Linked DNA regions of Rhinolophus ferrumequinum. The protein of the gene in region 1 purifies or fractionates together with the protein of each later gene. This does not show direct contact. Links are inferred from orthologs where the notes say so. Each region holds a gene or a part of one and is shown on either strand. Other genes may lie near its edges.

The links.
Region 2: the proteins of DNAJA2 (region 1) and PLD2 purify together in Homo sapiens (affinity purification with mass spectrometry; 3 studies listed by BioGRID and IntAct, with this or other methods). This does not show direct contact. The link is inferred for Rhinolophus ferrumequinum from reciprocal best matches to the Homo sapiens genes DNAJA2 and PLD2.

The regions. Positions count from the first base shown.
Region 1 is NC_046298.1:2,995,800-3,007,479, reverse strand, and holds the start of DNAJA2 (dnaJ homolog subfamily A member 2), read left to right. Parts: upstream 1-6,599; 5' UTR 6,600-6,717; coding exon 6,718-6,795; intron 6,796-8,291; coding exon 8,292-8,351; intron 8,352-8,654; coding exon 8,655-8,878; intron 8,879-11,503; coding exon 11,504-11,584; intron 11,585-11,680. UniProt on the Homo sapiens protein: Co-chaperone of Hsc70. Stimulates ATP hydrolysis and the folding of unfolded proteins mediated by HSPA1A/B (in vitro).
Region 2 is NC_046304.1:12,537,594-12,549,057, forward strand, and holds the start of PLD2 (phospholipase D2), read left to right. Parts: upstream 1-7,021; 5' UTR 7,022-7,148; intron 7,149-7,154; exon of another isoform or gene 7,155-7,284; intron 7,285-7,467; exon of another isoform or gene 7,468-7,637; intron 7,638-7,819; 5' UTR 7,820-7,820; coding exon 7,821-7,929; intron 7,930-8,008; exon of another isoform or gene 8,009-8,013; coding exon 8,014-8,144; intron 8,145-8,229; exon of another isoform or gene 8,230-8,245; coding exon 8,246-8,388; intron 8,389-8,799; coding exon 8,800-8,905; intron 8,906-8,994; coding exon 8,995-9,060; intron 9,061-9,202; coding exon 9,203-9,261; intron 9,262-9,397; coding exon 9,398-9,490; intron 9,491-9,582; coding exon 9,583-9,735; intron 9,736-10,207; coding exon 10,208-10,357; intron 10,358-11,464. Other genes in the region: PSMB6 (proteasome subunit beta type-6), read left to right, coding at 1-79; 40S ribosomal protein S20, read right to left, coding at 1,798-2,157.

The DNA.
Region 1 (11,680 bases):
GCACCGCACCTGCTTGCTCACCAGTGCTCTTCTCTGGATTCTCATACAGGCCACCAGGTAATATTGACCTTAAACAAATAAGCAATCAGATATTCCTCCAGCAAAATGTGTTCATTTAGGAACAACAAAGAATTGCAGTTTGGGACATGTGGTCTAATGGTGCCACATGACAAGTGCCGAGAGCAGTACCTATATAAATATTTCACTTACTATATATTTGTGAAATGAACAAACAGATGAGTACATGAATATTTTATACAAGGAATACATTTACTCATTCACTCATATTTAACTGCTTACCATCAATAAAGGTTCTCTCGTTGACCAAACTCTTCTCAGACTCCCCTGAATGTTACTCAGCTGGGCCTGACTTTTGGTGTCTGTATTCATCTCTGCATTGTCCAACTTAATCAAGAACCTTGATAAGTCAGTTTAATCCAAATCCCCCATCCTCCATACCTGATCAGGTCCCTCATCCCCCACCATCCCCAGCTGATGTCTGCTCACCCTGGCCTGACTCCAGCAGGACCCCTGTTACGTCAGCTTACCCAGAATCCCCTCACCCCGGACACTTCCCCTCAGTACTTTTCCATCCTCTGACCCCCACCCTGCTCCCTGGCTCTAAATTCCCACTTGCCCAGGCTGTGTTGGGATTGGGCAAAGCCCAGTCTCCCCCCACTGTGAAATCCCATCCCAGTGGCCCCTAGACCTATCAAATAGTCCTCCCTTGAGTAAAGTCTTCCTTACCATGCTTTATCCAGCATCATTTGAACAGTTTTTTCTTTAACACTATGTATAAAGCACTTTGTAAAACTAGAAGAAATAAGCAAGAGAGGTGTAGCTCCTGCTCCCATGAAATGTACAGAGAAGAGGGGAGGAATCTTTAAACTCCTTTCACACTCAGAGCACTTACTGCACAACAGGACGTCAGGCTGTGGCCCTTGGCCTGTGCGCGATCTACAGACGGTATTTCCTTCGCCCTTCGATGGCATCCAGAACCTAACAATTATAACACCGGGTATCTCCCATCTCCCCAAAACAATGTGATCTTTCACATCAGTGGTAAACCACATTCATGTCTCAGTGTACACCCCATTCTGGAATCCAGTTGCTGGAAAACACAGGCAGTATTGGAGCTGCCTTTCTGGCCCGTGGTCTTTGAGGAAGGAGGCCATGCCCGTTCTATATACCTGGCAAGACTGAGTATCAACAAACACTGGTGGTTGTTACTGCCGTCGGCCATAGTGAAGGAGAGCAGCCATGGTCTGTGGCCTTGCCCAGGGCACCTTCTAGGAGTGGTTACAAGGAATACTGACGAGTTCATTAGTCCTGCTGAGAAAAGAGACAAAGGACTGAAGAAATGCTGGGGTGTGGTAGACCAGGGTAAAAGGGATCAAATATATGCTGATTGGTGGTGAACACACAATGTGATATATAGGTGACATATTATAGAATTGTACACCTGAAACCTATGTACTTTACTAACCATTGTCACCCCAATAAACTTTAATAGAAAGAGAGAAAGAGAAAGAAAAAGAAAGAAAAGAAAAGCGTTGCAGGAGTGGAGAGGTGTGGCACTTCTCTTCAGGCTACCACTGACCTGATGGCTTTCTAGATAAGGAGGGCTATTCGTTCAAGACCCTTCTTCTTCTGCTAGTCCACTAATCTGTCAGGGAAAAAGTATTTAAGTGGCTTATCTTTGGTTTGCTGAAAGACAATTTCAGAATGGGATCTCCTTTCAAGGAGACACAGAGTTGAACTACAACCATTTCAGCGAGTTTCATCTCATGGATATCTCCCTAAAGAATATTTCACTTTGGTTTCTTTCTGAGGGAAAGAGGGTTTCCATTGCCAAGGCCAACAGCCCCCTGAATTTCTTCTGTGTATTTTTCCAGTTGGAACTGAGTAGCTTGTTTCTTTAGTAGGGAAAATCTGCTAGCCAAGTTCTCAGCTCAACCACAACTAAAGTAATGTCTCCATTACGTTGACCTAGAAACTGTAATTCAAAGCTACTGTTCTTACAATTTCGAGGTACCTATCCCTGAATCACAGGAGAAAGCTAATGACTTCAAGTTCAAATGGCAAATGCTGGTGCTGATGGCTGCTGGCTTTATATAGTCCCCTGGGAGATCTTTAATTCCAGGATATTTTAAATTAATGCCCTCTGTTCTGAAGAAAATTTAAATTTGTCTTTGGATTTAAAGCAACTTCCTTTAAAAATTAAACTATTAAAAAAAATTCAAAACTTGATTCAGCCTTGTATAATGCCCCTGAAGAATTAAATCCTATTTTCTAATAGTTGGGAAATAAAGAATAATTTCTAAGGCATTTTCATTTCTGGCATAAATACACATCTTAATTACAAGTCAAGTGTCCATCAATAAAGAACTAACTAAATGAATCATGGTACGTCCTCACAATGTATGGAAAGATCATTTATACATATATTACAAGCCAAGAATTAAGACAGTAGTGGAGTTGGAGAGTGAGTGAGCCAAGAGCTAAAATTTTAGAAATAAGGCGGAATTACCCTAGGGGTCAACAAATTAACAATGCAAAGTGGTGTAGTAGGTAATGTAGTCTGGGGACTGGAATGTAAAAGCTTTATGATTTTAGGAATGTAGGCGGGAGAAATATCTGGGAACAGAAATGAGGGTCACTCATCACACCTCCAGGCTTTCCTTCTAAAATCTGCACCAAATCCATTCACTCCTGTCCGCTTTTACTGTTGCCAGCTTAGTCCATGATGTCTACCTTTACTTCTCTTTCTCCTGGATCCTGAGCTTCCTAGATCTTTTCCTTGGTCCTTATCTACCAGAATTTTCTGTGTCTTTGATACTGATTTATTTTAACCCAATGAAATTCACTGAGAAAGAAGGCAAATCCCAAATTGTGGATTTGGAATCCCACAATGGAATCCCAAATGGAATCCCAAATTGTGACTACCTTGATAACTAAGTCAGAATTGAATGAGCTTTCTCTATTCTATTCATTTTTTTTGCTCTGTCTTAGCTATTTCATTTTTTCTGATTAAAGTATGTCAAGACCTCTTGGCACTAAGTCTCGGAGAAAGACTTGACAAATGTCACTACAGATTTTGGATGATTTTCCTAATCTATGTTATCAATTGTACAATAATAATTGTTCTAACAGTTAAGGTGTGAAAATTTTATTAAGCAAATTCATAACTTTAGACTAAGGATTACATGCCAGATCAAAATCATCTGTTCTTCATGTGTGAAATTGACAAAATAAAAATATTAATATTGAACAATATTCTAGAAATGTATCCTATGGAAATAACAATATTCTATTAAAGAAGTGTATCCTACGGAAGCAACTGAAAAAAATACAGAAGAAATAGGCTATAAGGCTATTCATAGAAGCATGGGGGAAGGAGCATCAATGTTTTTAAAAAGTATAAACAGTCTAAGTCTTCAAATATAGAATCACCTTAGACTGTTTTAAAAAATACAGTGCCCTGCCCTACTTCTGATCAAGCCAATCAGGACCTCTCGGAGGAAAGGCCCTGGCACTGGAATTTGTAAAAAGTTCCTCCAGGGGTTCTAATGTGCAATTATCGGGTGAACTATCTTAGGTGAATTTACCCAGTCTTATCTCTATATGCACCATCAACATGTTGGGTGGGGGGATCCCAAATTTACACTTCCAGGGGACTGCCCCCCCTTCCAACTCCATTCTTAGAAACTCAATTCCTTACTCAAGATTTCTCCTTGGATATAGCTAATAAGCACCTCTAATTTATTTATACTTTTAAGTGTTTTAGCTGGTATCACCTGCTTTGTACATTCCAGACTAGTTATATAAAAAGCAGGAAGCAAAACTACTGTCTGACCTCCCTGAATCATGTGGACAGGGCTGTCTACGTACGGTGATTCCATGGGTCTGCATTCAGTTAGTGGTGAACAGTATGAATGTCCTTAAAAACACTGCACTTCATACACTCCCTCTGCACCCCGACCCCACAGTCACACAAGCCCACCACATTTTTAAAAAGGAATTGAACAACAATGTGAGCCCAGCAGCAGTCTGCGATCCCTCCAGCCTGGGACTTGAAGTTATTGGCCTGGAGAGGGCAGCCCTCATATGCACTGTGACTCAGCATTTTCTGGGGCCCGAGACATGAAACGAGATAAAGGTCTTGTTCCCTTCATGGCATTAGCTAAATCTGGAGCGACCTTAAAAACACAAAATCAGGGACTGAAATGTTACAGTGCTCACGCTGACACACGTGATGACCGGGAGGAGAGCATGTGTCGGGGTGAAACACACAGAACTGTTCTGAAATAACCCGTTGACCTGTAAAATTAGCCAATAAGAATGCTGATTACGATTAACACTCGGAAATGGAGAAACTATTGTAAATAAATGAAAACAGAATACAAATATGAACTCTGGTGAGTTCATGAGTCAGGTAAAAAAAATCACTTAGAGCTAAGGAGGCAATTTACACAGCTACTCTTCACTAGAATATCAGAAGCTAAACTTGAACCACGTGAAGGTTTTTTTCCCCTTGCCAAAAAAAAAAAAAAAATCGAGTAAAACTGAAACAAATAGAAAAATCCAGCTCCTTTTACTGTTCTATGGGCAGAAAGAAAATAAGATGAAAATAAGATAAACTATATGAACATTGCAATAAAGACAGTTTCCGGTTCCTATTTTCATGTGGAGCAGGAACTGATGAAGAGGATACAGTAATTGGCAAGCAGGGAGATCTGCAGAGGAGAGACCACAAAAAAGGATGGAGGGGCTGTCCACATGGGCAATTGAGGAAATTGGGGACTCCGGCTCGGGAAGCCAGGAACTTAAATGAATAAAGACGATGAGTAGAGATGTGGAAACAGCCTATACGCAAATGGGCAAAAAAACAATTGCTAACACTTACTTAGTTTTAGCTCCTGTACTCTGTATTAACTCTTTAATTCTCTAAACAAGCGAATGATACCCATTTTATTAAATCCCATTTTACACATGAAGAAAGAGCCTCAGAAAAGTAACTTGCTCAAACTCACATTGCTAATCACCCGCAGGGCCAGACTACCAACCCACACAATCTAACTGCACCATTTTACGTTGCCTCTTATGAACGTCTCTAAACATGAAAAGGAAGTGGGGAAGTTGAAATTATTGAGGCCTGTAATGCATTCAAAACCAGACCACGTGCGGCACTGAATTTCCCCTAAGAAACCTACAGCCTGTTAATGGAGTTCAGACTCACACCAAAATACCATTCAAATCAAACCTTTGTACAAACGGCAGAAGCCAAAGGCAGTGGGAACGCAAATGAGACAGCTGTGTTCACCAAGCTATGGGGTCCAGGAAGAGGGCACTGAGGGAGGAGCGATGGGACAGGATTTGAGGGAAAACGGGGAGTTAGGTGGAAGGAGCGGCGAGTGCGCGTTCACATGAATTACTCCCCAGGGCTTTCAGGATAAATCTCAAACTCCTTGGCAGGGTAGCAAGGCCCTCCACTACTAGGTCTTAAGGGATTCCCAAGGAGAGAGATGATCCTGAGATGCTTATGCTGGAGTCTTTACTACAGTTCGGGTCTCAAAGGATCAGAACATCTTATTTTTCTGTGTCTGTAAATCATTAGTGGGTAGAAGACAGGCTTATTCTTTTGTAACAGTCCCTCCCCCAGTCTGAGCGACCTTACATAGTAGCCCGGTGGTAAGTGTGTAGCAAACACTTTCTGATGTCAATATAAATCAGTGAACATCAACTACCAGTGACTGCCCCAGCCTGGCTGCCTCATACCGTCATCGAGACCTCTGCTCTTAGCTAATGTTAAAGCTCTCCAATAAGAGACTTAAACACGTGATCCAGGTGCAACAGGCAGACCTTTGCTTGGACCTAGATGCCACAAACCAATCATGAAAGCACATTCATGAGACAACTGAAAATCTGAAGGTGGACTAGGAATTAAAGGAATTCTTTTCATTAAATGTGATGATGTGATTATGCTTTAGAAAGTCATCTATTAGATACATAGACTTCAGGTATTTATGAACGAAATCGGTTCCTTAAAACACTGGAGGTCCGGGAGTATGGGGGACAGATGACACTCCTGGTGACATGTGACTGCTGTACTTGTCTTGTACACGTCTTGGGTGTAATTTACTACTTTGTGTGAATGTTTGGAAATTCCCTGATATGAAACGCACACGACACACGCACACCCTCAGGTGCTGCTGTTCATCGTAAGCCCCGAGGGAACCAGACTCAAAGGGTCCACCGGCGGCGGCGTCTGGGTTCTGAGGACGGGCCCGGCGAGCCGGAGGGCCTCCCGCGGGAGCCCGGACCGAGTTTTCTGCCGCCGGCCGCGAAGCTGACCGAGACGGCGGCCCCTGCACCCCGTCGGCACCCCCTTCACGCCTTTCGGAGAGAGCTGACTCCTGGAGAGCGCCGCGCCGTCCTCCCCATTTCTACGCGGGACCCCGGGCGGCCCGGGCCGGGAGGAGAAGCCGGCAGCCGCCCGCGGCTCGGCGGACACCCACGAACCCGGCGGCCGCGGCCGAGCTCTGGGGGCGGGGCTCCGCACAGCGACGTCACGGCGCGCCGTGCGAGGGGTCAAAGTTTAGCTCCGCCCCCGCTTCCCTCTCGTTGTCTCCTCGGCCTGCGCTGCAGCCGCCGCCGCTGAGGTGCGCTCCGTCCGCTCCGCCGCCTTCCTGCCTGAGCGCTGCCCGGCCGGTCGCCATGGCGAACGTGGTCGACACGAAGCTGTACGACATCCTGGGCGTCCCGCCCGGCGCCAGCGAGAACGAGCTGAAGAAGGTGCTGGGGAGCGAGCCGGGCGGGAGGGCGTGAGGGGCGCGGGCCTGCGCGGCTGGGGCGTCCAGGCCGCGCGCTCCCCGGCGGCCCGCGAGCCGGCGCCGGCCGCCACGGGCCCGGGCTGGGGGGCGGCGGCGGCGAGACCGGCCTGCCGCGGGGCGCGCTCTCCGGCCTCGGCTGACCTTGGGCCGCCGGCCCCGCCCGCCCTCAGATGCAGCAAATAAAACCCACCCCTGCGCATAACACGAGGAAAACGCTTCCTTCCTCCCTCCCCCGGCGGGCGCCGGGCGCCGGGCGCTCCTGGGACGCAGCTGCCTGCCCGGCCCTCCCCGCGCCGAGGTCACCACCCTGGAAAAACAGGTTGGGCCGAGGCGCCCGGCGCATCCCGGCCCCGGGAGACAAGCTGTCCGCGCCGCGGACGCCGGGAGCGGGTCGGGCTGGTGTGAGGCCCGGCGGAAGGGAGGGTCGGGCCGCCCCCGCCGGAGCCTCGGGGCCGCCGGGGAGGTTTCCCGGGCGCCGCGGCGCCCGCAGCTCCGCCCTTGCCGCCTCCGTGCGCGTTGACCCCGAGGCGGCGTGGGTCCGCGTTTGCGTGCATTGTTCGTGGGCAGGTAACCTCACGGCCCTGGGCCCGCCGTGGGTCCTGGCCAAACACCTGAGTGTACACTGACTAAAAATAAATGGAAGGCCTCATTATCGCTCCTCGCGGTGCCGCGAACCTGTCACCTCAGGATTTCAAAGCACTTGAGGCTTTGATGGAGCCCCAGCGCATCCTCGCGGGGCTCAGAGCATTCGGATTTGTCAGCTGGGAAAAAGAAGAATGCCCCCAGGGCAGTGGCACGGGCAGTGGAGGGTAAAATGGACTTCCTGCTGCCTTACCGGAAGTGCTGGTTTCTATTATGTAATTCATGTGTCTGAATGGAGTCCTAAGTGCTGTATCTCTCAGCCACCTACATTTATGTAATTTCACTAAGTCTGAGGTCACTCCAATCACGAAGACCCCACATTAGTCCACTGTATGAAAGAAAAGAAAACAGGACCTGCGAGCTTCCCGTGGCTTCTTCCTCGTGGTACATTTAGAGGAGCCTTCGTGAGCAGGGATTCTTACCTACCTTTGCTTAATTTTTAGTAATAATGTTTTGCAGTTTGCAAAGCTTAGCAATCATTTCTTCTTAGAGTTGATTAGCGTCTTCTTGATCTAGTTACTGGCCGTCAAAGACATTTGGCAATAGCAAAAGTGGGGATTTATTAACACTTTGTTTTTCTCTGTGGCGTTGTTTCATTGCTTGTATCTGGCTTCAGTATAACCTATTTTCAGGTGTTACTACTGTGGCTTTGTTATTGGAACAGTTTTAAGATGGAAAATGCCAATAATCCCAATGACTAAAAGATACTTTTTGGAACGTTAGGATTTCACAACACTGCTGCTCAGAATATTAGGTTGTAGTTGTAAATCTTTAAATGGGTCTTTGTATGTAACTTTTTTTTGTCCTTTATTGAAGGCATACAGAAAGTTAGCCAAGGAATACCATCCTGATAAGAATCCAAATGCTGGTGACAAAGTAAGTTATTTGAGACTTTTTCCCCTTGACGTTTCAGTTTTAAACTTAAGTTGCCCTCTTTGAAAAAAGGAATGTTGTAAGAAAAGTCCATTTATGTCCATACAGCCAAGTTTTTGTGTTAAGAGTATTTTGTTTTTGTAGTAAGAATGCTAACATTCTGGGTAGTGGTCGGTGATAACTAGGATTGGAATCAAACCAAAGGCTACTTGTAGCTTGTAGAATTAAGTAGACTCTGAATTCCTGTAGCCTTTCCCCACCCACCCTTCTATTTGAAAATCCAATTGTTTTCCTTTCTCATTATAGTTCAAAGAAATCAGTTTTGCATATGAAGTACTATCAAATCCTGAGAAGCGTGAGTTATATGACAGATACGGTGAACAAGGTCTTCGGGAAGGCAGCGGCGGAGGAGGTGGCATGGATGATATTTTCTCTCACATTTTTGGTGGGGGATTGTTCGGCTTCATGGGCAATCAGAGTAGAAGTCGAAATGGCAGAAGAAGAGGAGAAGACATGATGCATCCACTCAAGTGAATATCTTTTTTTCTTTTTAAAAAAAACAACAACTAAGTGGTTTTTTTTTTTCCAAGTAGTAATCTTCAGTAGTAAGAGAAAAGGTATCCAAAAATGTTCTGTCCTTCATCAGAAAATAAAATCTTCCATTTGCTTTACTGTCCTCATTTGAATTTGATAACCTGGGTGTTTGCTTTTTGCTAAAATCTTGATGGTTGGTGTTTTTACTGAGTAGGAAGGTCGTTTTGTTTTATGCTTCTGATGCTGCTTGTTACTATATGGTTTAAATTTTTAATTACGAAGATTCTCCTCTTTGACGTATTTAAATCTTTCAAATTAACTTTTATTTAAAAACTTAAACAGTGAGTGACTATCTGGCTAGTTTATTTACATGTTATAGTCACTCATTACTTGATCCTCAGTGTGAACTCTTCTAAATTGGTTTCCATGGATCTTGCTGGCTTCAAGCCTGACATTAACCTGCCAACATATGAATAGTGTCTGACCTTGATCTTAGACTGGGAACCCATGAGCCCTCTACAATATGAAAATAGCTATTTTAATTTGCAAAATTGTGAGGTCTTTTATCCTGTTAATTTATTCATTAACCAATAATGATTTTACTAGCAAATGCTAGTAAAGATTGAATTTCAAGTGTTTATTTGTAATTCATGTTATGTAATTTATACATTTGAGTAGATTAGAGGAAGTAAAGCATAATCTGCTACATTGTTTGAGTCTTATTCTTAAATGTGTTTGTATTTTAAAAGAATTAACCCTCAGAAATAAATTATCATTTGGATATCATCGCAACAATAATAGGCAGTATGGATTAGTTCTTCTGGATTTTTCTTTGATATAGAAATGGTCTAGGAAGTAAATAGGATGAAGAGAGTGTTTACTGTATCTTACGGTTCTTCATCTTCTCCATAAGATTTTTTTCATACTCTACAGTAAATGCAGTTTTATTCCCTACTGTTTTCTTTTAACATTATTTTAAATTTCCCTATTAGGACAACGTTTCATTTTGTGTGACTTTATAATATTCCATTCCATGATTTTTTTGATCATTCACCTTTTCTATAGGATGTTTTTCTCTGTAATAAATAGTGCTGCTGTGAGTATCTTTATATACAGCTTTGTCTCTACTTGGCACAGATTCCCAGGCAGGCATCCGTGTTTTGAGGCCGATAAATACAATTAAATTGTACTGTAGAGGACTGTGCCAGTTTAGTCCCACTGGGGAAGGGTGCCAGCTTTGCCAGACCGTTACCCACATTTTTCCTTCCTTGGCCATGTTTGTTGAAGTGAGGGTTTTTCTGGCCTCTTCAATAGTGGTTTTGCATACTAATTGAAATTTAATACGTCAGGGGAAAAGACCTACCTGTTCATTTTCTGTAAACGATTGGTGAAAGGTCTTATGAAGTACAAAAGACAGATGCAACCAAGTGCTTTTGTCTGAGGTTAAGCTGTAGATGTGTCAGTATTTGGAAGTGCTGGTAATGTTTTGTTCATAAGTGTTTTATTCTTATACTGCCTAGAATGTAGGAAGTTTTAGCTTAAGATAAAAATTTTGAGAAAATCCAAATGCCACAAAATAGGATAGGTGCTTTGCAGAATACTTCCAACTATTTTTTGTTCCTCTATTTTAAAGTAAACATGTACTAGTAAAGGAGATTTAAAAACGCAGTGAGAAGGGTAAGACCAGACTCAGTGCATCACTGCCAGATCCTAAATGAAGAGTAGTTTTGAGACTTCTGATGTACATAGGTTTGGTTTTTTTTTTTTTTTTTTTTTAGGTTAGTTTGGAAAGGAATGGTTCTGTAATTCACATATGCTGTGTGAATAAAGGCGAGTTGGGTTTTATCAGTGGTATTTTTTAATAGATTTTTTTAAATCACCCTGTTTTGGGTCGTAGAGCTCTTTGAAAAGCTGATACAAGTTGTTCAGATACACAGTTGTACAGATAACTCACTGGGTTCTTCAGTGCTCTAACACTTGTAGGCTCTCTGTTGAAAAGCTGTTCTTTTTTTCCTCTGACGAACACTTTTCCTCTTCTCTGTCACGCTGTAGATAAGGCCACTTTTTTTTTTTTTTTTTTTTGAGACATGCAATCTGAGTGCCTCCCATAGGTTGTCATATGACTTTGTAGCCTTTGCAAATTGTTTTTGGAGGGATGAGAGCCTTGTAATAGAGCGTGGACTCTAGAGCTAGGCAGTCTGGGATCTTGGGCAGATCACTGAACCTCTCTGTGCCTTGATTTTGTCTTGTAAAATGGGGAGAATAATTGTACCTTCTTCAGAGGCTTAGATTCGGTGGAGGGCTCCTGCCTGAGGCCAGAAGAAGGTTGTGGTGCTTTGGTTTGAGCAGTTAGTTACCAGCTTTATCAGAAAAGGCAGCGCTGCAGACTGTTGGCTTGATCCTGTAGGTTCTGGCTTTGGACACCATATGCACTGTCCAGAACCATAAAGTCTGCCTGCTAATTGGAGCCACAAAATAAAATCTCAGTCAGATGACTTAATGTGTTTTTGAAGTCTTCGTTTTAAAAGGTTGTAGTGGAATTCACTGTACCAGCTGTCATTTATATCTTGTATTTAAGAGAACTTGGCAAATTTGATTGAACCTAATTCTTTTCTCCCCAGAGTATCTTTAGAAGATCTGTATAATGGCAAGACAACCAAACTACAACTTAGCAAGAATGTACTCTGTAGTGCATGCAGTGGGTAAGTGTGTGTTCTTGTCCCTGAAATAAATTTAATCTGTTCTTTCAGTGGTACATTGAGTCTATTCCAGATAAAAATTGTTCATGATTTAAAACT
Region 2 (11,464 bases), on another chromosome or scaffold:
AGAATCAGGGGTAGAGCGGCAGGTACTTTTGGGAGACCAGATCCCCAAATTCACTATTGCCACTTTACCACCTCCCTGAATCCTGGGATTCTAGGACACAATGAGAGACATCCCATACTGATGCAAAATTCAATAAACAGTTTGTCAAAAAGAGTCTTTGTGCTCTGGGGTTTTTGTTTTTGACTCCAAGCCTGAACTTGTCTGGTGTACTGCTGTTTGGACAAACCACTGCTCTGAGCCCTGAGATTCAGAGAGGAGCCTTTATAAGGGTGGTTTTCAAACTTCTTTCTCTAGGCTACCTTCTCCATTTCCTTTCCTCTACCATATTCAGGTCCTTGTGACACCAGAGTGTGGTTGATAGGAGGGCTACCACCCTTGTTCAAGCCTGAGATAGAACTCAGAATTCTGAGTGAGACTGAGGTCACCTCCCATTAGTCTGCCTCCTACCTGTCATGGGTGGCTACTAGCCCTAAAGCCAGGACTCTCGACCTCCTCAGACCCAGGCTCATGATCCCCACTCTCCACACTCACCTCTATCACCTCATCTTGTTAGGAGCAGCAGTGTGACTTCCTTGGCTTTTGGGAGAAAGGTGGACCTTGTTGGCAGATGGTAGAGGGCAGCCACTGGGAGTGCTGTGCGCCAGCTCTGGAAGGCACCATTCCCATGGGAGTGTAACAGGTCAAGTCTTCAGCCCCTTGGATGGGAGGCCAGGGACCTAAATGAGCTCAGTGGTGCTCATTGACAATAACCAACATTCTCAATTTTGCCTCAATCTTCTTCCCTCTCCCCTCACCCTATGGATCAGGGAACTATATAAGCCATATTTGAAAACCTTGTTCTAGAATATAATCCTGCCCTGGAGGATTTCTGAGGGTACAGGGAAGCTTCCTAAGGAGTGGGGGTAGGGGAGAAATAAAGAAGAGCAGAGAAGGATCTCTGTCCACAAACATGTGTACCTCAAAATAACCAACACACTTTCCTGTAAAACCTGTTCTCCCAGTTCTCCCTATCAAGGCATCTTTCATTCCTCTCTGCCTTGACTCCATATTCAGTCCAATAGTAAGTTCTAAAAACTCCAAAAGTATACCAAAAAGCCATCTACTCTCCCCATTTCCATAGCACTGTCTTGAGCCAAGCCACCATCGTCTCTTGCCTGGAGGATGGCCACACCCCCTGCTACATGGCCTTACTGCTTCCATACTTGATCTACAATCTTTTCCCGTTCAGCAATCAAAGTGATCTTTCAATGTAAATGAGATCATGTCGTTTCCCTGCTTAACATTCTTCAGTGTCTTACCATTCCATCTAAAATGATATTTTACCCACTTACCATGGCTTAGAAGACCAAACATTTCTCCTCAATCTTGACACTCTAGTCACTGTTTTTTTCCGTTTCCTAGAATCGAAGGGGTTTTGTACTTAACACTTGCTGGTTTTTCTGCCTGGGATTGTTCTTCCCTGATTTAAAAAAACTTTTTAGAGCAGTTTCAGATTCACAACCAAATTGAGTGGAAAATACAGAGATTTCCCTTATACCTGCTTGTCCCCACATATACGGAGCCTCTCCCACTATCAACATCCTGCATCAGAGTGGTACATTTGTTACAATCAGCAAACCTACATTTGACACATTGTTCAGGTCTCAGCTCAATGTCCTCATCAGAAAGGCCTTTCCTAACCACCTGAAATTTAAGAAACACCACCTTCCCCTCCTCCATTTTGCTCTCACATTACCGTTTAATTTTCTTTTTTTTTTTTTTAACAACTGATAAAGTCAATTTATTAAAAAGATTGACTTAAGCATCTGCAATGGTGACTTCAACCTCGACTCCTGGCTCAATACTGATGGAAGTAATCTGCTTAACAATCTCAGAAGGACTGTGCAAGTCAATCAGTCGCTTGTGGATCCTCATCTGAAAGCGATCCCAAGTCTTAGAACCTTCACCACAAGGAGTTTTTCTTGTAGTGATTCTCAGAGTCTTGGTGGGCATCCGAACTGGTCCTTTTACTTTGAGATTTTTTTCCTTTGCGCCTCTGATCAAGTCAGCACACACCTTCTCCAAGGATTTTACGTTGCGGCTGGTTAGAGTAATTCTAATTCGGTGAATCGCCACCTCTGGTTCCACGGGTGTCTTGCCGGTATCTTTAAAAGCCATGGTTGCGGCGCGGCTTCCTGACCGACTTGTTCCTCCGCGAGAGCGAACAGCGGTGAGTCAGGAGCAGGAGCGGGCGAAAACGAACGACGATCGAACCACGACCGCGCCTTCCTCAAAGAGCTAATTTTCTTCATAGCAGCACTTAAGCCTTATCTCATAGTATCATGCTTATTTTTTTTTATTTTTATTGTCTAGCTTCTCTACTAGAAAGGTCAGTGAGACGAGAGAATTCTTTCTGCTTGGTTCACTAATATATCCCCAATGCCCGGATACATTTATATATTTATTGAGTGAATATGCTCCCTAGTCCTGTCTGCTGTCCTGCCTAGCCCCCAACCTTTCCAAACTGCAATCACCACACTCAACTCTGAAGCTTGATTTCAGCAAACTTCTGGCTAGCACACCTGGGCTCTGCATTACATATTCACCACTCCAGTGTCCCCTTCGCCACCCAATGCTGCGTTTCCCACCTCAGCTCCATAACCCAGTCTAGTGCTTGGCCCCATCTACTCCCCACCCCAACACCCAAGCACATCCACACAATACTTGGCAACTCCGAATATATTTAATGAGAAGGTTATGAGGGATTTGGGGAAGCCAGAAACTGAGAATTGTGGGGAAGGAAGGTTGCCAAGGCTTCCTGGAAGTTCAGCCCCTGGTTGTCCCTTCAAATGGTGGAGTCATTGGCCGATGCTATGTCATGCAGCTGGTGGCGGAAGGAGAGTCGGGCTTTCCTGCTAAAGTAGGCACCAGACTCTAGGGAGGGTATCCCTCCCTCAGCCACGATGGGCGCGATAACTGGGCTGGGATCTGGATCTGTAGGGGCAGCTGGAGCCAGACCTAAAAGGGAGATTGGAGGAAAAAGGGAGTGGTGGGTCTGGGTCCTCCTTCCCTCCCCCATGCCCATCCCCAACCCTATGAGTAGGACAGAGGCCAGGGAAGACACTGGGAGTCTTGGGAGGGGTGAGTGTTGGTAGCATCAGCAGGAAGAGGGAGAGGGTATCTTGGGAGAACAGGGCTGGCTTCACTGCCCTTCAACCTGTGCACTGGCCCCACACTCAGGACCCCCATGCTGGATGTAACGCTCTGCTGTCACCGACTTGAACTTCTTAATCATTTTTTAACAAGGGGCCCCACTTCTTCATTTTGCATTCCTGCAAATTTGGCTGTCCTGCAGATTATTTAGCTAGCTCTGTGGGGAAGCAATAGATCCACCAGGGAGACAGACTATCCTTTTCCCTTCACCGGTTTAAGAATTTACCTTTCTCCCAGTGTAGCTTATCAGTTTGCCTGACAAACCCCCCTTTTCCCTCAGTCTCCCCATACCTGCTCCTCTTTCAGTCCCCCGCTGTCTTCGGCACCCACACCATGGGAAACACCATGCCCCCTTGAGACCCATCTCAACAATGGAGACAGGGTGCTGGGAATGGCCAGGAGGGCCCCAGGAGGAGGGGTGTGGTTTCCAAGCCCCCCCACTGTGGGCAAAACTACCACTTAGCTTCAGACCGCCTGGTGATTACAGGCGCCAGGGGATGGAAGGGGGAGAAAAGGGAGGAGGGAAGAGGTGGAGGGATTCCCTATTCAAACACCTATCCATTTTTGCCCCCTTAATGTGGGGGCTCTCTTGATCCTCATGGAGAAGCAAAAGGAGACTGGGACAGGTGTCATGGCAGAGACAAATACAGAAGTGCTGGGACATACAGGTGCAGTGAAAATTCACTACAGCGTTGTTGGGCCACTTGGTGCCAGCCTGGACACTGCTGGGGAGTCATCTGTATTTTAGAATGACAATGTAGAATTCCCAAGATGTAAAAATTTAAAGAATAGTCTATTTTTTTTAGAACAGGAAACTTTACTAGTCAGGGAAATGTTATGCTCTCATTAAATGGTCTGGTAGCTCTTGTCCCCTTTTATGAAGACAGTTGTAATTGATTAATAATGCTGTGCCAGGTAAATTCTAGGGATTTTACATGTTATCTCATCTCATGTAATCATGTCAATGACCCTTTGAGGCGAGTGTTATTACTATCCTGATTTTACAAATGAGGAATTGGAGGCACTGAGAGTTTGGGTAACTTGCCCAAGGTCCCACAGGCAGTTATCAGCAGAGCAGGAACTCTCCCCCACTCCCATCAGAGTGACCGCAGAGTCTACTCTGTTTGCAACCACACTGAGCTTCCCAAGCATGTCCCTAGTAGGCACTGATGCCCCTGGGTAGGTCTGGGGCGGGTGGGTGACCTGAGCCTGGGCTGGGAACCTAAGGTGCAGAAGCCCCTAGCCAAGGACTCTAAATGCCCTCCAGTAAAGCTGCACAAATGTTATATTATTCCCTATGGGTGCCATGATGTGTGTGGAAAGGTTGGGAAGCACTGCTGACTATACTGCCTGACTTAGAAATCTGTTTTTTGTTTTTAAATTAACTTTATTGAAGTAAACATTTACATATAATGTAATGCACACATCTCAGTGTACAGTTCTAAGAGTTTTGACAAGTATATATACCCATGTAATCACCACCCCAATCAAGATATAGGACATTTACATTTCCATCACCAAGTTCCCTTGTGTACCCCTTCACAGTCAATCTTTCCCCACCCCCGCCAGAGGCAACTATTGATCTGATTTTCATCACTACCGATTGGTTTTGCCTGTTTCAGAATTTTATATAAATGGAATCATATAGTATTACTCTTTTGTGCCTGGCTTCTTTCAGCGTAATGGTGTTGAAATGCATCCATGTTACATGTATTAAATCTGTTGGGGTTTTTTGTGTGTAATAACAGCTTTATTAAGAGATAATTCACCCTTGTAAAGTATACAATTCAGGGCAGACGGGTGGCTCAGTTGGTTAGAGCGCGAGCTCTGGGCAACAGGGCTGCCGGTTTGATTCCCACCTGGGCCAGTGAGCTACGCCCTCTGCAACAAGAATGAAGTCAATGAGCTGCCACTCAGTTCCTGGGTGGCCAGATGGCTCAATGGGTTTGAGTGCGGGCTCTCAACCACAAGGTTTCCAGTTGGACTCCTCGACTCCTGCAAGGGATGGTGGGCTGCGCCCCGGCAACTAACGGCAACTGGACCTGGAGCTGAGCTGTGCCTTCCAGAACTAAGATTGCAAGGACAACTTGACTTGGAAAAGTCCCGAAGTACACACTGTTCCTCAATAAAGTCCTGTTCCTCTTCCCCAATAGAATCTTTAAAATAAATAAATACATAAATAAATTAAGTATACAATTCAGTGATTTTTACTGTATTCACAGAGCTGTGCAAATATCCCGACCAATTTTATAACATATTCATACCCTCAAAAGAATATCCATTAGCAGTCACTCCTCTATCCTCCTTTTCTTCAGCTACTAATCTAATCTATTTTCTGTCTCTGTGGATTTACCTATTCTGGACATTTTATATGAATGGAATCATACAAAATGTGGTCCTTTGTGGCTGGCTTCTTTCAATCAGCATGTTTTCAAGGTTTATCCATGGTGTAGCTAGTGTATCAGTACATCATTCCTTTTCATGGCTGAATAATATTCTGTTGTAGAGATAAACCACATTTTGTTTATCTATTCATCAGATAATAGACATTTGGGTTGCTTCTACTTTTTGGCTATTTGAGTATTCCTACTATGGACATCCATGTACAAGTTTTTGTACATATCTAGCAGTGGAATTGCTGGGCCACATGATAATTCTATGCTTAACATTTTGAGGAACTGTTTTCCAAGGTGACTGAATTATTTTATACTTTATTCATTTTTCTTGCTGAGTAATAGTCTATACACCACAAATTAATCAAAATAGAAAATTTCTCTTCAAAAGGCACCATTACTCTACAAGGACAAGCCACGTTCTGGGAGAAAATATTTGCAATACATATTTGTGATAAAGGATTTGTATATGTGTACATATATATGCATGTATGAATCACAATATCACAATAGACAACATGGTTTTTTTAAAAGTTAGCAAAAAACTTGAATAGACACTATAAAAGATCTACAAATGGCTAACAAGCACATGAAACACGGTCAACATCATTAATAATCAGAGAAATACAAATAAAACTACAGTGATGTACTATTTTACTTATTAGAATGGCTAATAAGTAAAGACTGTAAAGATTGACAGTATCAAGTGTTGGCCATGCTGTGGAACAACTGAAAATGTAAGAAGGAACAATTGTTTTGGAAAACAGTTTGGCTGTTTCTTCTAAAGTTAAAGAACACTTATATGACCCAGCAACTCCACGCCTAGCTATTTGCCCAAGAGAAATGAAAACATATATTCACACAAAGACTTATTCCGGAATGTTTACAGGAGCCTTATTCACAATAGACAAAAACTAGAAACCACCGAATGTCCATCCAAAGAAGAGATAAATAAATCTGCTTTAAATAAATTTTGCATTATATTACCTTTTAGAACCTGAAAATGTCCCGGTTTCCCCCTAGGATGTAAGTTTCAGGACATCAGGTTCCTTGACTATCTTGTTCACTACAGTAAGTACTCTCAATGTCTGGCACCGAGCAAGTGCGCAATAGCTGGTGAATGAATGAAAGAATGCAAGCTTACGTACGTTAATGAATTTGTGGCCACCATCCATCCGGCCTTTTATCATGCCTTCCATCTACAAACGCTGGCCAGGACAGGCCCAGTGTGGCTCTCAGCCCGCCTGGGAAGGGGACACCCACAGGTACCATCGCCGAGGTGCATCTCCACAAGGGCCAAAAAGGCCCCAGGGGCCGCGCCGGAGGGGGGTAAAGTGTGCGGCGTCGAGCATCCACAGGGTGGCGGCAAGGCACACTTGGACCGACGGCGCGGGACAGACGGACAGACCTGTTGACTGCACCCGCCGGGTACAGAGAGCAGGCCGCTCAGACTCGCAGCCCCGCATCGCAGAGGAGACCCCCTCGGCCAAGGGCGGCGCGCAAGACCGCGGGGCGGGACGAGGGCGGCGGGGGCGGGACAGGACAGACGAGAATCCCGCGGAGGTGAGGCGGGGGGCCGTCCCGCCCTCGAGGGCTGGCCCTGAGGCCGCCCCGCCCCAGCTTGCTGGGGTGTGGGCTCCGGCTCAGCTGGGCTCTGTCTGCACGCGACCCCGCATCGGCGCTGGTTCGGGCTGCCCGGGTGAGGGGTCCGGGGAGGGGGTGCCGCGGAGGGCCGGGACCCAGGAAGTCGGGCGGGGACAGGAATGGGCCCAGGCTGCGGGGCCTCCTGATTCAGCTGCACACTCAGATTTTGGGTTTTCCCTCCCGGGCGGGGAGAGCACAACTTCCTCTTTTCCCGCCTGGAGCCCCTCTCCCAGCCAGCCTGGCCTAGCTTGAGTCCCGGCGGCTCCCGGCCCCTTGCGACCCGCGGGGCCCCTTCCCCTGGCTTTTGCTCTGCCCCAGTTCTGGGCCATCGGAGCCTGGTGTTCCTGGCTGGGCGCCCTGGTTACGGGACTGGAGGCGGGGTTCAAGGGTTCTGGATGAAGGACTGAGGTAGGGGATGAAGTTAGAGGTGGGTTGGCAGGGCGTTGCAGACGATGGGGCTATCATCAGAGAGAGATTGGGAGTTAGCGGGAGACAGGCGGATGGGGAAGAGGGAGGTGGAGGATATGGTGGAATGGGGGGCAGAGTTCTGCAGGGCAGATCACCTCTCTGAGGCTTCCCCTTATTCCTAGGATGACGGCGAGCCCCGAGAGCCCCTTCCCCTCTGGGAGCGACCTGGACTCCAGCCAGTTACAGATGGAACCCGATGAGGTGGACACTCTGAAGGAGGGAGAGGACCCAGGTATGCAGGGAGGATGGCCCTCAGGGAGAGGACTGGCCTGAGTCCTCCTGGCATCTACACTCTTCCACTTTTCTTTCCTCCTAGCTGACCGGATGCACCCCTTTCTGGCCATCTATGACCTTCAGCCTTTGAAAATGCACCCCTTGGTGTTTGCTCCTGGGGTTCCTGTCACAGCCCAGGTGGTGGGCACTGAAAGATATACCAGTGGATCCAAGGTGGCTGGGCTGGCACCAAGGGTGGGAGTAAAGGGAAGACTGACCAGAGTGGGGGCTGCAACCCAACCAGGGGACATCCATGCAGTTCCTCACACCCTCAGGTGGGAACCTGCACTCTGTATTCGGTCCGCTTGACTCATGGTGACTTTACCTGGACAACCAAGAAGAAGTTCCGTCATTTCCAGGAGCTGCATCGGGACCTACTGAGACACAAAGTCTTGATGAGTCTGCTCCCTCTGGCTCGGTGAGGGGGACCAGACCGCTTCCTGTGAAGGGCCCCTCACCCTGTGGCATGAGATGTCACTGCCTCAGCCCCCATCTCTCCTTTTTGCCCATCTCACCCCCACACTGCAGCCATTCCTCCCCCAACTTCCCCTGCCACTGGGCCCCCTCTTCTGACCCTGGTTACCAGGAAACCTTCCCTGTTCAGCTCTCCCTGTCCATGGTTCTGTGCCAGTATCTTAGCCGGGCTAGATGCCCAAAATGCCCTTGGCAGCCTCCCGCATTTCTTGTCTCTATTCTCAGCGTAGGAGGCCTTCCTTCCGCCAGCCTTTAGGCCTCCTTCCTTGCTCCAAGACCCTCTCTCCAGTGCTTCAAGAACAGAAGCACTCAGCCTCCCACCTCTTACTTGACCCTCAACCCATCCCTTTCACAGCTTTGCTGTCCCCTATCCTCCAGCCCGAGAGGCAGCCGACAGAGAGATGCCCTCTCTACCCCGAACAGGTCCTGAGGGCTCCACCAGACATGCATCCAGCAAACAGGTGCGACCGGACACCAGGTACTCTGGGAAGGCGTTTGGTTTGCAAACGGTTCTGGTCCCATCTATCTCTGTTTCCTATTCCTACTTCAGAAATACCTGGAGAATTACCTCAACCGCCTCCTGACCATGTCTTTCTACCGCAACTACCACGCCATGGTAAGGTTCAGGTGCTGGATGCCTGGGTCTTTTTAGGTGGAGCAGAGTAAGCAGGTCCCCAGGGGACAGAGGACCAGGATCAGTAGGGTCTGAGGGGCTGAAAGCCTGAGTCTCTCCCCTGAGCCTTTGTTTTCCTCTGCAGACAGAGTTCCTAGAAGTCAGTCAGCTGTCTTTTATCCCAGACCTTGGATCCAAAGGACTGTAAGTGTCTGACACCCTTCACCCAGTCACCTGCAAACATCTGGATCTCTCCCTGCCTGATGATGGGGAATGCAGTGCAAGGTGGGCTGGGGGTCTGGATTCCTTATCCAGTATCTCTTCCTGACTTTTCCCACAGGGAAGGGGTGATCCGGAAGCGTTCAGGTGGCCACCGTGTTCCTGGCCTTACCTGCTGTGGCCGAGACCAAGTTTGTTATCGCTGGTCCAAGAGGTGAAGCCTAGAATGGGGCAGGTGGGACATGGGTTGGGGGTGAGGAAGGAAATCATGAGGGCAGAGGAACAGACAGAACCCTTCTGCTCCAGGTGGCTAGTGGTGAAGGACTCCTTCCTGCTGTACATGTGCCTCGAGACTGGTGCCATTTCATTTGTTCAGCTCTTTGACCCTGGCTTCGAGGTGCAGGTGGGGAAAAGGAGCACAGAGGCACGATACGGGGTCCGAATTGACACCTCCCACAGGTAAGGCCTCCTGGTACGGACAGACACTTGGTGAGTGAAGAGCCAGCCTAAGGCCCTGAGGGGAGTTGCATGGAAGAGCCCGTGGAAGAAGGGAAGGCATTTCCACCCCCCTGGAGCTGGCCGTGATTTGGAACTAGGGAACTATTCTAGCCTGATGCTTGGGACTGCTCCTAGAGTCTGGGCCCAGAGAAAGGGGGTTGAGCATAAGCTTGGGGGAGGGACTCTTGATGTAAAAGAAATGCACTCCATTCATTCATTCATTCATTCATTCATTTAACAAACCTGAATGCCTGGTACAATACTAAGTGCCAGGAACCCAACTGAATAAGGCAGATATATACCCTGTCCCTGTGGAGTTACGATTCAGGGACTAAGGGAAGTGGGAAAGAGGTGACAGCTAAATGGGGAGAGCTTCTGGGTCAGACCAGAAGTACTGAGGGTGAGGGTTGTGGTCTCTATTGTTCCTGTCTAGATCCCTGATTCTCAAGTGCAGCAGCTACCGGCAGGCGCGGTGGTGGGGCCAGGAAATCACTGAGCTGGCCCAGGGCCCGGGCAGAGACTTCCTGCAGCTGCACCGTCATGACAGCTACGCTCCGCCCCGGCCTGGTACTTTGGCCCGGTGGTAAGACATTGATGTCCCTTCTGAGCTTGTCTGTGGCCTTCTTGATTGACTCCCTTGGTGTTCTCTGAATCCTTGATCCTCTTTTATCTCCTCTGACCCCTTCTGATCTCAATAAGCCCCCCCTTTGACTTCTCAAATCTCCTGACCCCCTGACTTCTTTACCCACATCTATCTCAATGATTCTCCTCTGATTTTTCTCACCCTCAAACTCAGTAATCTCTTCTGACCCCTGAATTCTCTGACCTCCTCTGACCTTTTGGGCCCCCTCTTACCACACTGACCATACTCTCTGTTCTCTATGATCTCCTCAAATCTCTGATTTATTCGTTCATTTAATGAACATTTTGTAAGCACTACTATCTGCCAGGTCCAGTGGCAGGAATAAGACACAGTCCAGTAGGTGATTAAATCACAAAACAATGGGAACTTGCCTTGTTGGTGGTAGATACAATGTACCGAGCACAGAAGAGCAGCATTTGCCCCAGCGTGGGGTTGTCAGGACTGGCTTCCAGAAGGCAGTAACCTTGATGTTTGCCTTAACAAGATAGAGAAAATGGAGAAGGGCGGTCCATGCAGAGAAGTTAGAAATAGCCTGGTGTGTTTGGGAACCACAGGACTGACTGTTGTTGCAGAGTGAGGAGGAGTGGTCAGAGAAGAGTACGGGAGTTGGCAGCCCCTGATCTGTGCCCTGCATGCGAGGCTGAGAAGGTTGACCTTTATCATAGGCAAAGGGGAGTCATGGAAGGTGGTGTTGAGATTTCTTTTTAACATAAGGACAATAATAGCTAATACTTATGTAGCAAATACTATGTGCCCGGAAGTGTTATAAGAGTTTTACATGTTTTAACTTACCGAGGCAGGTATAGTTATCTCCATTTTACAGATGAGAAAACTGAGGCAAGGAGAAGTTAAGTAACTTGCCCTGGGTCACACCTTGTAAACAGTGGAACCAGGATTCAAATCGAGGCAGGTTGGGTCAAGACTCTGCTCTTAACCATCACACTAAACTGTTAGTTATTAAAAAGTCAAACAATATAAAAACACATTAAAAATGAAAAGTTCCCACTCATTGCACAACCCTTTATCTCCTAGCCCTTACTTCTTCCC